2 linked regions of the Daphnia pulex genome follow. The protein of the gene in region 2 purifies or fractionates together with the protein of the main gene of each other region. This does not show direct contact. Links are inferred from orthologs where the notes say so. Each region holds a gene or a part of one and is shown on either strand. Other genes may lie near its edges. The genes, in order: cleavage stimulation factor subunit 1-like and toll-interacting protein B-like.

The links.
Region 1: the proteins of toll-interacting protein B-like (region 2) and cleavage stimulation factor subunit 1-like purify together in Homo sapiens (co-immunoprecipitation; 3 studies listed by BioGRID and IntAct, with this or other methods). This does not show direct contact. The link is inferred for Daphnia pulex from reciprocal best matches to the Homo sapiens genes TOLLIP and CSTF1.

Annotation. Positions count from the first base shown.
Region 1 is NC_060027.1:1,883,220-1,887,288, forward strand, and holds cleavage stimulation factor subunit 1-like, read left to right. Parts: upstream 1-1,529; 5' UTR 1,530-1,651; coding exon 1,652-1,734; intron 1,735-1,815; coding exon 1,816-1,943; intron 1,944-2,012; coding exon 2,013-2,218; intron 2,219-2,275; coding exon 2,276-2,503; intron 2,504-2,570; coding exon 2,571-2,731; intron 2,732-2,788; coding exon 2,789-2,939; intron 2,940-3,020; coding exon 3,021-3,114; intron 3,115-3,179; coding exon 3,180-3,311; intron 3,312-3,374; coding exon 3,375-3,484; 3' UTR 3,485-3,551; downstream 3,552-4,069. Other genes in the region: protein cueball-like, read right to left, coding at 1-94, 162-386, 1,175-1,418; isopentenyl-diphosphate Delta-isomerase 1-like, read right to left, coding at 3,620-4,069. UniProt on the Homo sapiens protein: One of the multiple factors required for polyadenylation and 3'-end cleavage of mammalian pre-mRNAs. May be responsible for the interaction of CSTF with other factors to form a stable complex on the pre-mRNA.
Region 2 is NC_060026.1:14,642,263-14,646,494, forward strand, and holds toll-interacting protein B-like, read right to left. Parts: upstream 2,563-4,232; 5' UTR 2,454-2,562; coding exon 2,385-2,453; intron 2,019-2,384; coding exon 1,836-2,018; intron 1,769-1,835; coding exon 1,635-1,768; intron 1,560-1,634; coding exon 1,358-1,559; intron 1,286-1,357; coding exon 1,031-1,285; intron 961-1,030; coding exon 835-960; 3' UTR 508-834; downstream 1-507. Other genes in the region: uncharacterized protein LOC124203968, read left to right, coding at 111-206; uncharacterized protein LOC124203962, read right to left, coding at 2,850-2,951, 3,020-3,263, 3,360-3,739, 3,825-4,139, 4,202-4,232. UniProt on the Homo sapiens protein: Component of the signaling pathway of IL-1 and Toll-like receptors. Inhibits cell activation by microbial products. Recruits IRAK1 to the IL-1 receptor complex. Inhibits IRAK1 phosphorylation and kinase activity.

The sequences.
Region 1 (4,069 bases), on a different chromosome or scaffold from region 2:
AATCGGCGAATCGACTGTTTGGTACCGTCAGTCCATAACAGTGTTTTCTCCAGATTATCATAGGTCAAAGCTTCAACCGACTCGTTGGTTCCTCCTACTCATCACGTTCACAAACATTAGCATGTATGGACAGATATCAAATCGCAAAATAAAAATATTACTTTCCACGACATCATGGACAGAGCCTTGAGCCTTGATCCCATCGAATGTGACGCTAAACACGTGCCCTCGTCGATTACGCTTGTCTGAGAAGAAGAGTTTTTGTGAAGATGGATCGTAAGCCAGGGCGACCAGTACGGAAGCATTGTAGTTCTCCAATTTGAGTGGATTGCTTTGAGATCCATTGGTCAGGATTTCAATTTGATCGCCGACAGCAACAATTAAATCTGGAAATGGAAATAAGTGGTTAAGAGACCATTCCGGAACGAGTTATCCGACTCTTGTCTTGCGATCGATGGACTGGCAATCCGATATGCTCTTATAAAGTCTACGTGCTACAAGTTCTAGATGGGAGCGATACCAAAGTCACAGCTACAGAATGAGTCTACGTGACCGAATCGATGAAATGATAACGGATGTTTTAGGTTTCTTGCCGACATTTTGCGAAAAACAGAACACGTTATTAAACTCAAGAATCGGTTTAAATCCGACCGATATCAAAAAGGTAAACTAGTGGTTGTTTTGTTTTGTCTTGAATCCTAATGTTTCCACGTCGGAAATTCGTGGAACTAGTTAATATCTTCTACGCACGAAATTTTGCATTTTACTATTATTAACTTCCTGCAAATAGCAAGGTCGACTAATGACGTGCTCAAGGAGAAAATAGCAAAATATTGACAAACATGAATGCAGACAAAATAAGTTTCAAGGACCAACTACCGGCAGACGATATTTAGTCAATATCAGAAGTAACACGTTTCCTAAGGTATTCCCCGGATATCACGTGAGAATTGCATTTTTATTACAAGAGAAAGCTCGCTGGTTTGTTTTTATGATGTTGTCAATGGATTTTTATTTTCTTTTAAAGCCTGTGTGAGAGCAGAATTTTTTGTGTAGTCAGCTGTAGCAATAGTCATATTTCGATACCAGTGTCGTCTGCTACTACGGACTACGTGACTTGGCTCGGCATTTCCCATTTAATAATCGTATGGTAGGCAAAAATGTGTATATTTACCGTCGTAGGATTTGGTTGCGGCAGCAAGTGCGAAGAAAATCCACACTAATAAGGATCGTGAATTCATATCTCGATCCGTAGGCACAGAAGACAAATTTATAAAATACTCATTGATAAAAAGAAACGATCTTAGTTGAACAAATGATGAGTAATATTCTTTGTCTTCACCGGCCACCGAGACACCATGTACCGGGAAACCTGCCAAACCAACTAAATGTAGTCCGGCCGAAATTCTTGAGATCATGCGCGATGCAACCTTATTCCCTGATCTACTTTGTACTGCCGTGTCTCGTGGCTGGTGCAACACTAAACACTCTGGCGGCTAACAATGCAACTTCCGGCAATGCGCCATCTCGTTTGTTATCTTGAAATCGTATCCTACTTGTCGGCATTTTCTGTGTTTACACTGGTTCGAGAAAGACATAATCTTGTTCTTGTATTTTTCTCGTTCGATTTTGAATATTTAATTCACACAAAATGAAAGACTCCGAAATTTTGGAAGCGATGGAATCTAAAAATGCGATAAAGTTTAAAGAACAAATTTATCGACTCATTATCAGGTAGTGTAACATAGTTAAGTTTGTACTCGAGTCATCGTACGCGTGGTTATATTGTCTTGACGTGTTTTTCCCTTTATGTAGCCAATTATTTTATGATGGTTTCCAATCACTGGCTGTCAGTCTATCATCAGCAGTTCAAGCACATCCAACATGCCCCCCATCCGATCGACTCAATCATATTGTCTCGCTAGGACTTCAGCATGAACACAGTAACTCGATATTCAATGATAGGAAATACAATTTTATAACCATGTTTAATCTTTGGTAATATTTTTCAGCATTGAAGAAACCATTAAATAAAGTGGAGATGCTTTTGGGTCCAGGACTGGATTTGGAATATGAAACTGATGTTCAAACCTCAGCTCCAGAACCAGCACTTTATGAAACTGCATATGTAACATCCCACAAAGCGCAATGTAGATCTGGGGCTTTCAGCCCTGATGGTCAGTTAGTTGCCACTGGAAGTGTTGATGCATCCATCAAGGTGACATGAGCAACACCTTTCTACAATTTCATTACCTAATAACAAGTTCAATTGTAGATCCTTGATGTTGATCGAATGTTGGCTAAATCATCCCCAGATGGAGAAATGGCAACTGATCAGCAAGGCCATCCTGTTATCAGAACTTTATATGACCACGTAGAAGAAGTGACCTGTCTGGAATTCCATCCTCGTGACGCCATTCTCGCATCTGGATCTCGCGATTGCACTGTTAAATTATTTGACTTCAGTAAAGCAGCGGCAAAGAAAGCTTTCAAAACACTATCAGTAACAAAAAAGCTTTTCTCGTGGCCCTTACAGTTCCTATTGAATTTTTATATGATTTGTTTAATAGGATTCAGATCAAATTCGTTGCATGGCTTTCCATCCTACCGGAGACTATTTGGTTGTTGGTACAAATCAGCCCGTTGTACGTCTGTATGACACCAACACCGCTCAATGCTACGTCTGTTCATTTCCGTCTCAGTATCACACCAACGCTATTACCTCACTTAAGTATTTATTAATTGGAAGAAAGCATTTGTTAAACAAATTATAATGTGTTTATCGTAGGTATTCTTTTGATGGCAAACTTTATGTATCCGGTTCTCGAGATGGTTCCATAAAACTCTGGGACGGAGTGTCTAACAAGTGTGTCGGTACCATTAGCCAAGCCCACGACGGTGCGGAAGTTGGATCTGTTACATTTTCTCGCAGTGGCAAAGTATTTACACTGTCGTTTCTTACCCATATTTATAACTGGTTTTAACTGTATGTCAATGTTTTTTTTTCTCTAATTAATCAGTATGTTCTTTCATCTGGCACGGATTCATCTGTTAAACTTTGGGAGCTCTCTTCACTACGCTGCATTATAGCCTACACTGGAGCTGGCACAATGGGTAAGATAATTATTACAAGTATGAGGCTTATATTCAATAATCAAACGTAATTATGGTTTATGAAGGCAAACAAGAGCACCGTGCTCAAGCTCTATTTAACCATTCGGAAGATTTTGTCATGTTCCCCGACGAGGCAACAACATCCTTGTGTTGTTGGGATGCTCGGACAGCTCAACGCAAACAGTTGTTGTCGCTTGGTAAGGAGGAAAAAATTCAATGGATAAAATAATTCATTTAATATCTTGTTGATATTTTTTTAGGTCACAATGGTGCGGTCCGTTACATTATCCATGCGCCTAGTACGGCGGCTTTTCTCACCTGCTCAGACGATTACCGCGCCAGGTTTTGGTACCGTCGCAACCCACATTAGATTAAGCTGTCAAATTGTACATGAATAATTGAATAAATGAGAAAAGCTACACTTTCATCTGAATAAATAATTTTGTTTCTTGTTTGGATTGAAACCGTATAGTTTCTACAAATGACGTCATTAACGTCAGTGCATTTAGAGGCTATGTATAACGGGGTCATACTCTATTCTTTCGAGATTATCTAATTGGTTCCACCATACTTTAAGATGGCTGTTGAGAATAAGTTTGAACCACGGTGTAAAGGGGATGTTATTCTTTTCGAGGTAGCCTTGAAATTCTTGAAAGCCGGATAGGGAGACGAAAACAACGCGGCTCACTTCGTTCGGGTTGGGTTTTACGGGAACGTCTTTCCTCAAAAACAGGATATAATCCACTTCATGTTCACCCCATTTGGCATCAGAAGGTGCACCATAAATGATTCTGGTGAGAATTTTAAAATCAGACAGCTCAATACTATCTGGACTGATGCCCAGTTCAATTTCAAGCCTTCTTCTAGCAGCTCTTCTGATCCCTACATGGTGAGCTTCTTCAGCTTCATCAGGTGTTGTATTATGTAACGGATGACTGCAACAGGAATTTGTATA
Region 2 (4,232 bases):
ATCTGACATTTCCTATTCAATTGAATCTCTTTCGCAATATTTCATCATCTACTAGCAAACACAGTTCAAAGTTATGTTCAATTAATAAGGCAATAATACTTGTATTATAGGGATCCAACCTAGGAGTCAACGATTCCAAATACAGTGAGAACACTCGTGATGCCGTATGTACGCAGTATTCTTCAGCGAATTGCGAAGTCTACTAGAATGTGTCAAATTCTCTCTACTATTTCTCTTGATAATATCATTTAAACTACATTAAGCCCATTCCTACCTACTGTACTTAGCCTTAAGATGGTGTAGTATCGATACCGGAATCATACAAGCATTGCGTAAAACTGAATAAAAATCTACTTGAAAATGTTAATTGAATGGATAATACATCACATTGCGAAAATTTACAATCTTGCGCTTTCTAAAGGGGAAAAAGAAATTTAGTTGGATTTCTCTTTTACAGCTGCAAAATATCGAATCTCAAGCTACGCAAAAAACTTTATTAATTCTGGGTTGTAAGGGAAAGTTAGCCAACATGTATTTTTCATAAACTTACGCCACAGTGAGGATATATTAGGGGAATTTAGAAATCTAGACATGGAAGAAATACCATGTGATAATACACAAAAATTAACTGGAATAGCCTTTTCAATCAGATAAATGACTAGCCACTGTGAAAAGTTGAAAATAGAAATTTCCTTTGCAAACAGCTATTTGTTAATTTAAAAAAATATTATGAATAGTAATAAGGAACTCATTCCATGTTAAAAGTAATGTAACGAATAAGCGATGTTGAACAAAAATAATTAACCTTCGTCCCCGGCAGTCTAAAAAAATTAATTACTGTTCAGAAATCTGAAGAAGACTATCGACGATTGCTTCACGACGCCCATCACATGCGTCAATGACGCTCTGAACTACTTGAGGGTCAAGCGTCGGGAACATGCTCATAATTTCTTTAATTTCCTGCAATTCGCAGTTTAATGAAGAAATTTCAGTACAATCTCAGTATTAAAAAATAAAAATTGTAAATTACCTCTTGAGTAAGTGGTTTCGGGCGGGAAGCGACGGGAAGATTTCCTTGGGGAGTCACCAAAGCTGGATTGGCTGTGTTGTAAATGGGCATTTGGACACAGGAAGGAGCATAGCCGGGCATGACCATCATAGGAGTTGCTATTGGTGTTTGCCCAACCGGAACAACTGTGGAATTCACTAGTGGATAACCGCCGTACGCTGGAGCCATGGCGAATCCCATAGTCCCCGGTGCAATCAGCTGTGGGGCGGCAATCGGCTAAAGGAAAAGAAGCCGCGCGTCACAAAACCCCAAAAAATAACTGAAGGGCAAATGAAAAGAAATTTTTACCAGGAGTGTAAAAATCATGTGAATAGACCCTTCTTTATGTTCGCCTTGTTTGCCGCTTAATTGCAGCCACTGGTCGGCGGATTCTCCGCGAAAAACAATTTCCGGAATAGGAATCTGGCCGTAGGCAATCAGTTCATCCATTGTTAATGCGCACTCGTCGTAGACTTCAATACTAATGCTTTTCACTCCAGTCGGTAGATAACTATTGGCAAATTAAATACGTCATTTTAGTAATGAAAATGACTCAGCATAAAGTTTTTATAGATTGTTTATATACCTTTGGATGCGCTTATTCCAGCGAGGGGTTCTGCCACCGCTTGGACAAGCAGGGGTTTCGTAGATTGTGTGGCCAATGCGAACACGGACATAAGGATCCATTCGAGTTACTCCGTAGTTCTTAACAAATGAAGCCTGAAATGATCAAATGTCGTGAAATTTAATGTTGACTTCATTTTGGCTTTAGATGATTTGATTTTACCTCAACAATGGTGATGATTAGTTGACCGGCATAGCTTTGGTTGACATACTGAATATTTGCAACACGCTGCTGCTGGTGAAGTTGGATAGCCAGTTCTCTATCAATACGTTCTTGGTGAGATGGATTACTACCCTGGAGACTGTCAGGTCTTAGAAAATCATCAGGTAGATTTCCCAGCACAGCCTTTGGTAAAGAGGAAAAAATATATGGTATCGTAAACAATGAGGAAATAAACTAAGGCTTTGTTGTAACTTGTAAGAAGCTCTACAATGCCAGTCAAAGTATTGTGTTTTGAGAATTTGCATTAGTTTCTTTTCGATCAATTCATCCAATACAGGTGTAAAATGATATGAAATGTTACATTGAACCCTGATTGATTGTTAAATAATTCAGTACTTGGAAAAAGAAATTGTGTGGGTTGTGGTAAGAAATCAATAGAGATGAGTCATTTCACACGAAAGTATACTAATCAACGTAGTTGCGCAAGGTGAATGACTATGCAGTGCTATACTTTTATACGGCCTAAATAAAGAAATGAGTTGTGGTTACCGTGCGTTGACGATATCTACTTTGTCCAGCATTAGAATCTGATGGAACACCAGAACCAGCACTTGCCATTTTCAAGAAAATAATTACGTTTCCAAACTTTTGTGTCAAGAGACTGTCTTCCACGGATACAGCAGTACACAGCAGTCGTCAACTTGTCAGTACTGTCTGCCTGTACATGTAAGTAAAAATTGTCATTGCCAGATGGCGTAATGATCTGATTTCTCCTATCTCAATTCAAACACATTTCATTAATGCTATCTTTCAAATCAAAAATGAACCCCGGAAAAACAAGAAAAAATTGTCTGTATTTCTTTCAGATCCAACAAAAAATTATTCAGCTTCTTAGTGATAAGCCGGACTTAACGATCGAGCAAACAGATATCAAAGTTTATGCATTGACTAGTTATTGACCAGTCACAAGGACAAAGTACACAAACATGAATTTTCATATCTCAGTAGGAAGATCTAGTCTTTAGTTTTTACCCGTTTATTCGTTGCTGCGTTAGTTGTTTCTCCTTGCACTTGCACGATTTTCTCTCGCATCGATCTAACTTCAGTTTCTTTTTCCTGAAAAAATTGATTTATTACATTAATGCCCCAATAAGTGATGCCAGTGATTATTGATTGAGTCGAACCATTAATCGAGATTCCGTTCTTCTCAATTTCTGTTTCAAAATCCTAATTTCCTTTTGGGTTTCCTGCTTCGACTTCACCAATTCCTCGTTGCTCAAATACTTGTTAACAACATATTTCTTTTTCGCCAATGACGTTGAAGGATTTTCTCCTTGTTGGAAGTAACGAAGAAGAAGAGTTTGTTTAAAGGAAAAACACGATCCGCATAATCCTTGAACTTGTCGAGAATCAGGAAATACGGAACACCTGAATCAAGTTTTAAAAAATATTATAATTAATTTAACGGTGCCAGGAAGTTGGAGGACATAATAAAATAGTCTTTAGAATAATAGATACACTTACGCGGTGGAATGCCAAAAACCATTTTTTAGGATTCCGAAATCCGTCGAGCAATCCTTGACGAAATGGCACGGGACATCGTCAATTCCGGTACATAACGGCAATGCGTCAAAAATTTTTAGAGTCTCGTTGAGACTGTTGACGGTTTCAAAGTTCCGATACAAACCACACGGAAGTTCTTTGTCGAGCGGTAGCGCATCTTGATAAACAAAAAAACTAATCGATTTTGCCTTAACGTCAATTTTGACACCTTTCCGGATAACCACAACTTCTTCTTTGACTATAGCTTCGCAACAAAACAAGATCTGTTCTGCACCTCGCATCGAGTACCAATTTTCACCCGGCAGTTTTATGGAATTTGGAATCATCACAAAGACACCCACCTTAAAAAATAAACACATTAAGATATAGTTGCATAACAATTAAACGCAATGTCAAGTTAGGAGAGGAATTATAAAGTTAACTTACGATTGGACCGTCGACAGGTGTTGGCGTGGTACCGCCAACCGCGACATTAAACTGACTGACACTGGAAGCGGAAATGCCTTCTACGTCGCAACATCCTAGGTGGGTGTTGCCTGAAGTAGTAGTCTTTTGTTCAAGACTTCTTTTTATCACAGTACTCGACGAATCCATGGAAATTTCAGCTTCGGAGGTAGTTTTATGTCCGTTATTCATCTCGTGCGGTTGATAGAGTATCGGAGGATTTATTTCAATAGACGACTGCTTAAAATTATGTTGGTTTTGCAAAGTACTGTAAGGCAGCAATTGTTGTACTGGAACCTTTCATGGTAAACACAAAATGTATTAATCATGTTGAAGAAAGGAAAAAGTTTATGTCAAACCTCAGAGTTATTGTTATTAATTGCCATGGTT